Sus scrofa: one gene and its partner. Each later gene encodes a partner of the first gene's protein in a complex. Links are inferred from orthologs where the notes say so. Each region holds a gene or a part of one and is shown on either strand. Other genes may lie near its edges.

The links.
Region 2: the proteins of TEAD4 (region 1) and FAM181B are in contact, whole or in part, in a crystal structure (PDB 6SEO), measured with the Homo sapiens proteins. The link is inferred for Sus scrofa from reciprocal best matches to the Homo sapiens genes TEAD4 and FAM181B. Residues at the interface, in NP_003204.2 of Homo sapiens: Glu263, Ala264, Val265, Asp266, Gln269, Ile270, Asp272, Lys273, Leu295, Lys297, Trp299, Glu391, Val414, Glu416, Val417, Ser418, Ala419, Ser420, Gly423, Gln425, His426, His427, Tyr429; in NP_787081.2 of Homo sapiens: Pro221, Leu222, Arg223, Arg225, Asn226, Leu227, Pro228, Ser230, Phe231, Phe232, Thr233, Glu234, Pro235.

Annotation. Positions count from the first base shown.
Region 1 is NC_010447.5:67,164,774-67,168,823, forward strand, and holds the start of TEAD4 (transcriptional enhancer factor TEF-3), read right to left. Parts: upstream 2,807-4,050; 5' UTR 2,782-2,806; coding exon 2,556-2,781; intron 1-2,555. UniProt on the Homo sapiens protein: Transcription factor which plays a key role in the Hippo signaling pathway, a pathway involved in organ size control and tumor suppression by restricting proliferation and promoting apoptosis.
Region 2 is NC_010451.4:16,920,790-16,924,641, forward strand, and holds FAM181B (protein FAM181B), read right to left. Parts: upstream 2,354-3,852; 5' UTR 2,213-2,353; coding exon 935-2,212; 3' UTR 501-934; downstream 1-500.

The sequences.
Region 1 (4,050 bases):
GTCTTAAAAAGGAAGGACATCCTGACACCTGAAATGACACGGAGGAACCCTGAGGACATGATGTCAGGTGAAAAAGCCAGCACAAAAGGACAAATACTGTGTGATTCCATGTATATGAGGGCCCTGGAGGAGCTCTAGCCAAAGCGGTAGACTGGATGGCGGGTACCAGGGACTGCGGGAGAGGGACCTAGGGGCCAGTGCTGAGCGGGGACAGAGTTTCAGTTGGAGGGAATGAGAAAGTTCTAGAGACGGGCAGTGGGGATGGCTGCTCAACCACAATGTGAACGTACTTAATGCCACTGAGCTGTACACTTAAGAATGGGTAACAAAGAAACAGTGGGTCCCACTGTGGCACGCGAGGACTGTCTGCTGGCTCTCCAGACCTGCCACCACCGGGGCCTCCCCAACAGGCAGCACCCTCAGCGTTCTCCCCACACCGAGCGCCTCGAACACAATTGTATTTGCCAGGCCATGTGTCCTTTTAAAGCAGGAAGATCAATCCTGCTAGGCGCCTGGGCACTGACCACTGCCCCATCAAGGGACCCTGATTTCTCCAGCCACACCCCCGCCACGACGTCACCGTCACACCTCAGCTCATGACCAACACGCACCCCACTCTCCATCAAGCCGTGGAAGAGCCCAGGCCACCCAGCTCCACGGGAAGAGCCTACCTAAAGCAGGTCCCACCCCTGGCACCCACAGCTGCTCTGCGCACAGCGGCTGCCTCTTCCGTGAAGCTTCCATGGGGACCCAAAGTAAGAAGCAACCACTGGAGCAGGACGTGGTTAGAGCAAGGTGCCAGGGGAGCCCAAACCAGGGCGTGGAGACCCGCAGAAGTGGGGGCCCCGCAGAGCCTCAGCGGAGGGGCTGGTAAAGTCGGATGAGCAGCTGTAACAGGTAACCGAGGAGCAGAGCTGGGGTCTAGCTCGAAAGGACCTTGCTTCCTCCAGCAGGAGAAGGAATCCCTGCCCTTGCAGGGCAGGTGCAGATTAAAGACAAGCAGGTGGGGCTGGCTCCCTAGACCAGTCACAAAGCAGATTTGAGTTTAGTTAATTGAACAGAGTGGAACAGCGCCCGCCGCCCCCAACATTCACATCCATCCAGAACCTCAGAATGTAATCGTATCTGGAAATGATCTTTTTTTTTTTGGCCTTGCCCATGGCATCTGGAAGTTCCTGGGCCAGGGATCAAAGCCACACTACAGCAGTGACCCAAGCTGCTTCAGTGACAACACTGGATCCTTAACCACTAGGCCAGCAGGGAACTCCAGGAAACAGGGTCTTTACAGAATTAACTAGCTAAGATGAGGGCACACTGGATTAAGGGGGGCCTTATATCCAACGACTGGTATCTTAGAAGAGGAGGACACACAAAGACAGACAGACAGGACGGCCATGTGACAACAGAGTCTGAGACCAAAGTGCTACAGCTACAAGCCAAGGACACCAAGGGCCTCCAGCTGCCCCCAGAAGCTGGGAGGGGGCACAGATCAGATCCTCCGGCAGAGCTTCCAAGGGGAGCCAACCCCCAGCACCCTGAGTTCAGACCTTCAACCTTCTGACTCGGGAGAGGATACATGTCTGTCATCTTAAGGCAGCCCTGAAATTCGAGGTGGTTTTTTACAGCAGCCCTAGGAGCTGAGATCAGTCAGCTGATGAGGCATCTGTGCTGGGGGAGGGGCACCCACGTGGGGGTGGGCACTGGCCCAGAGCCATCTCATGGGAAGCAGGGCAAGACCCTCTGTGGACAGGGGCTTCAGCCAGTCAGAGATCCCCACAGCTCCTACCCAGTCCCAGTGTTTCAGGCTGGGGGTCCCAGGGAACTTTCCAATGGCAATGGAAGCCTGAACGGAGCCTCTAAAAGTTGTTCCGTGTTCATTTTGCTTCCCAGATACCCTCTCTTCCATCCCAAAGTCAACACAGCCCAGGCAGACGGCTCGTTCCTTCCCAGGGTCTGCGGGACAAAGTGCCTCTGTGTCCTGCATTGACAATGACGCAGAGGGCGTGTGGAGCCCCAGACCACGCCTTCCCTGATGGCTCTCAGCTAAGGGGCACACTCCTGCAGGGGGGTGGTCCTCACCCCCCCCCAACCCCGGGACACTCTCAACGCCTTGTGTACAGTTACCTGTATGCCCACCCCCACGTACCATGAGAAGGGACTAGATCTGCCCCGCCCCTGCCTGGCACACCAAAGGCCCAGGTATGAATGAGGGAGTGAACCAGGACCGCCTTCCTAAAGGCCTTCACAGCCACAGTGGGAAGCTGGGAGATCAGGCATCTGCCTGGGGGGTGGCTAAAGGGATTTTCCCAGCCTGCCCCGGGGGGATGTTCTAGGCTTTCCCAAGTTCCATCCTCACAGCCACCCAAAGGTGTCTCCCCTGATGCCTCCCAGCCCTTGGGAGCCTAGGACAGAGTAAAGCAGCGTCTGCCAGGACAAGCCCCAAGAGGTCACCTCTTTCCATCACTTGGAGGGAACCGGGTTGCTGTGCCCAGGCTGTTCCTGGGGCTGGACCATGAGCTGGCGGGCCTGCTGCCCAACACTGACAGCCTCCTTACCGTACATCTTGCCCTCATCCGATAGGATGATCTTGCGCCGACCGCAGGGCGGGTAGATGGCCAGGGCCTCCTGGAAGCTCTGCTCGATGTCGGGGCTCCACACGCCCTCTGCGTCATTGTCAATGGGCTTGTCCAAAGCCTGGCTGCCCCCAGAGACGTTGCTCCCCTCGGGGGAGTTGGGAGAGCTCCACTCGTTGGAGGTAATGGTGCCGGCCTTGCCCTCCAAGGCTCCGCTTGGAGGAGCGCCCGTTGGACCTGGGTGGGCAGAAAGCACAGCATTGGTGGATGAACGTGTGGACAAGGGGGTGGGGGAACCCAGGGAGCACCACCCCTGAACCAGGTGCTTCTCCTTTCCTGGTGCTCATGGCCCAGGAGCTCAAGGGGAAAGCCAGGGAATCCCATGGGGCAAAGAGTGAGGTGGGCGGGGCAGGGCGGGGTGGGGAGGGGCTGGTCAAGGGCAGGTCATCTCCCCTCCACAGACCTCAGCTCCCCACCCCATCAAAGGAGCTCAGCAACCAGGCACTGTCTGATTGTGGCTCTAGGAACCCAGATGGGGCTGAGAAGTTAGATGAGGGCCAAGTACCATGGATGTTCTACATTAGACCAAAAAGGGCCAAGAGCATACAAAATACTGTGCTCTGTTGGTGGGAATGTAAAATGGTGTGACCGCTAGGAAAACAGCATGGAGGGCCAACCAAAAAATCAAAGAGAATGACCATAGCACCTAACAATTCCACTTCTGAGTATATACCCAAAAGAACTGGAAGTAGGGTCTCAAAGACACTCATGTTCAAAGCAACATTATTCACCACAGCCAAGGGACAGAAGAACCCAAGTGTCCATGGACAAATGAATGGCTAAATAAAATGTGGTCTCTACGTATAGTGGAGTGTTATTCAGCCTTAAAAATGAAAAAAAAATCTTTTTGTTTGTTTTTTAGGGCCACCCTGCAGCATATGGAAGTTCCCAGGCTAGGGACTGAATCAGAGCTACAGCTGCAGGCCTACACCACAGATACAGCAATGCCAGATCCTAGCCATGTCTGTGACCTATACTGTAGCTTGTGGCAACATCAGATCCTTAACCTGCTGAAAGAAGCCAGGGATCGAACCCACATCCTCATCGACACTAGTTGGACTCTTAACCCACTGAGCCACAACAGGAACTCCATGAATATGCTTTATTTTGTCTTTTGTCTGGCCTCACCCATGGCATATGGAGGTTCCCAGCCTAGGTCAAATCGGAGCTGTTGCTGCCAGCCTACGCCACAGCCACAGCCACGCCGGATCCTTAACCCACTGAGCGAGGCCAGGGATCGAACCTGCAACCTCATGGTTCCTAGTCGGATTCATTTCCACTGTGCCATGACGGGAACTCTGAATATGCTCTTAACATTACTGAACTGCACACTTAAAAATGGTTCGTGGTGCAGTGGTTAACGAATCCGACTAGGAACCATGAGGTTGCGGGTTCGGTCCCTGCCCTTGCTCAGTGG
Region 2 (3,852 bases), on another chromosome or scaffold:
TCTAGATTTTTATAACTTTAACATAACACAGAGTTTCAACTTTCTTACATGTAGCTATTTTGATCATCTATCTTGGTGTCTGAACAGAGACAGCTCTTCTCTGCAACTTAAACAGTAAGCAACACCTTATATTGTCTGCATGTAGGTCTCTCTGGACATTTTCACCAGCAAGTCTGCAGAACTGAAGGGCTCCCTTTATTTCCTTCCAGCAACTCATTTCCCACATCTTTCTCTACCCCTCAACCATGCTGATATGCCATGAGTCCTCTCTGCTACGTCATGTCTGGTTAAAACATTTCTGACTTTTCGCAAGTCTCCCTCAGATTAACAGATCAGACTCCTCTCCAGGGCCCTTCAGCACAGGTGAGGTCCGCAGTCACCCACCAGTCTCCTGTCCACAACTAACACACACCTAACAAGGCAGGGAGACCACACAGAAAACCGTCCTCTAGGAAAATACCCCAAAACACCCAAATCAATAACAACATACCTCTGCTCCATTCTTTTCAATATAGGCTTTAATTCATAACACACTCAAGGGGAGGGAAGGGGAAGGTCCAGGATACCGTTTGGAAGGGGCAATTACCCTAAATACACTGGCCTTGTGATGAAAAGTTGGGAAAGGAACAGGTGGCTACAGAGGCCACTTCCTGTCCCTTTCGCCATCCCACCCTATTCCCTAAACGACGAAGTGGTTTCTTGGTAAGAACCTACCAACTGCTTTAAAAAAAGAAAAACACCACACAAGGCTGTGATTAAAACAACCCCCAACTTCTCTGCATTTCTTTCTCCGAAGTTTCTTTTATTAATTGAATTTTTAAAACCCCGTTTCAACTCCATGTGCATTTTCCCATCGTTCTTTAGGCTTGGGAGAGACCCAGAGGCAGGAGTCCCCCAGAGCAGTCTTTTATTGGGAGAGAAGAGTACCTCGAAGTCAGTCCCGGGGCGCCTCCTCCTCTCCGGGCGCCCCTTCCCAAACCCCATCAGGTCTCCAAAGGCTGGAGTACGCGGAGCGGCTGTAGCCAGCGCTGTACTCGTAGGACACCTGTTGGGGCGGCGGCGGGGGCAAAGCGCAGTCTGAGAAGAAAGGGGCGAAAGAGGCCAAAAGACCAGGCCCGTCCTCCCCGCCCGGAGAGTCCGGGGCGGCGGGGTACAGAGGGCGCAAGGGCTCGTTCAAGGTCAAGCCGCCGCGAGGGGCAGCGAGGGGCGGCTTCTTGGGCGCTGGGCAGCCCGGAGCGCTCCAGGGCTCGGGATACAGTAGACTTCCCACCATTGCGGGCGGAGGCTCAAAGAGGCCGGGCTCCAGCTCTGGGGATCCCCGCACGACCGCTGCTCCGGTGGGGAACACATCAAGAGGCTCCGCAGCCAGCAAGACGCCCGCCTCGGTACCCTGGCAGTAGTCGGGCCCCAGCAGCTCGAAGAATTCCACTGCCTCGGCGCCCTTCTCCAAGTCGCCCAAGCTCACGCCGGGCCCCGACGGGCCGCATCCGCCGCTGACCGCCCGGGACGGCTCGGTGAAGAAGGACGGGGGCAGGTTGCGGGCCCGCAGCGGGACCTTCCTGGCACCGGGGACCACCGGACATCCCGCGGTGCCGGCCGCGTCCCCTCCGGATCCCCCAGCGCCAGCTCCGCCGAGGCCGCCCGCGGTCGCCGCCACCGCAGCCCCGGCCGACTCGGCGCCCCCAGGGACGTGGCGCAGCGAGTCGAAGAGCGCGGCCAAGCTCCGGCTTTGCAGGCTGGCGGCCGCCGCAGCTTGCGACGCCTCCCGCCGGGGGGCCGCCTTGCCGTGAGTCGCGACCGCGACGGTCTGGGCGCCGGCAGCGGCCAGTGGCCGTTTGGCGGGCGTGTCGGTGGCGCCCGGGGAGGGCGGGCAGGGGGGCGCGGCGCCCATGAGGCCGCTGCAGCGCTTGATTTGCTTCTGCAGGTACTTGCGGTGGTTCACCTTCCTCTTCGACTTGCCCGGCTTGTCCAACGCCAGCTTGATGTTGCTGGACGCCGAGTCGATGAAGCTGAGCAGGTCGCGGGTGGCCTCGCGCACGTCCCCGCCCTCGGCACCCGCCAGCAGCGCTCCGGCCGGAGTCCCGGTTTCCTCGTCCTCGAAACAGCAGCCCTTGTCCAGGGCTCCGAAGGCGCCCCCCAGCCCATCCGGGGAGCCCCCGAAGCCGAAGGGGACGAATGGATGCGTGCTGAGGAGCGCCGCCTGGACTGCCATCCCCGCGGCTCCTCGGCAGCCCGCACCGCGGCCCACACCTCCGCCCGTGCGCCCCCGACCGGTTTCCGCCCGCGGCCCAGGCCCGGCTCCCGCCCTGGCGCGGTGCGAGCAGCGCAGCCTCCTCGCTCGGGGCCGGGCTCGCTGGTCGGCCTCCCGGGGGAGCTCATTAGGTCTTGTAAGCGAGGGGCGGAGGGAGGAAGCGCAAGGCGACCGCCCCGGTGGCGGAGGGGAGGGGCTTATTTAGCTGGGCTAAGCTGGAAGTGGGGGGGGGGTCACTTTTCCAGCTTTCTAGGCTTTCTCAGACTCATCACCTTAACCCCTTAGTTTCCCTTCACCCCTTGCATTTTTCTTGGCCAGCTCCAACTGCAAGACTTGAGGATCCTCAAGTCCAGCTCCTGCATAACCACGCCCTGGCGAGGGGTACTCTCCTGGAGGCTAAGGCAAGTGTCCAGACACGTGAGTTTCAGTACCAGCTCTGGTAACAGTAATAGCCATCAGCTGCTGGGCACTTGCTCATGCTAGGCACTGTCCACGTACTCATCATTGAATCTTTGAACAATAGTCCTATAAACTACGTCTTATTATCACCATACAACAAAACAGGAGACTGAGCCTAAGAGAGTTTCAGTGTGTTGGCCAGAGGCTATATCCAGACCAGTCTGACCCCAAAGCCATTCCTAAGCCCTTGACAAAACTGAAGTTCTCTCTTGGCCGTGGATTCCTCACCTATCCGATGGGGAAGGAAACTAATGTCTCTCTTCAAGTTCTAGCCCTGCTCCTAAGATTCCAAACCGAGTTTCTGCAGGACTCTCAACTCTGGTGCTCCTTCTTCTAACCCTTAATTGTTAGAGCAAATCCGAGCCAGCACTTGACCCATCCTTTATTAACAGCAGATAGACAGCAGGAGGCAAGAGAGAAAGTTGCTCCCACTAAGCTAGCTGGTGAGAGAGACAGCAGAGCAAGAGAGCGAGAGAAAAAGTCTCAGCATCTTGGGACAAAATATGGATTGGAAACTCTCCCCTACCTATCATGCCATTTAGGTTGATCTTTTGGAACTTTTATTGCATTTCAGGAATCACCCTGAAGTTCAACCCAGTTTCACCTGGGTAAGCTTCTTGGGATAGAGAAAATGAACAACGGCAGAGGTAGAAGATGATTCAGAAAAGACTTGGTCTCTGGTCTTAGCCTCACCACTCAGTAGCTCTGTGATGGGTTGAAATCTTTGATGAGTACATAGCTTTGGGCAAGCCAGCTGACCTCTCTCTGCCTTAGCTTACTCAGGCTAAATGCAGGTAAGTGGCCCACCTGACAGGGCACTTGCAAAACATCTTATGAAAAATCCTTATCTGTTGGCTGTACTATAGCCTGTGATGAGTATTTGCTCTTATTTCTCTAAAACACAAAAAGGTGACTATGTTTCCTTATATGAACACCTAATATGTATGAACACCTCAATCAGAGTGTTCATGGGGATTAAGTGAAGTCACATATATGAAGGTACTATGTGTGATAGAGTTTTCTTTAAGTTATTATAGTTTAAGTGCAGAGTCTACTCAGGGAAGCTATAGACCATCCCTTTCAAAACTCTTTTCTTTAAGCCTCACTTTTCAGGATGTGGCAAAACCATTTTTGAGCAGCCT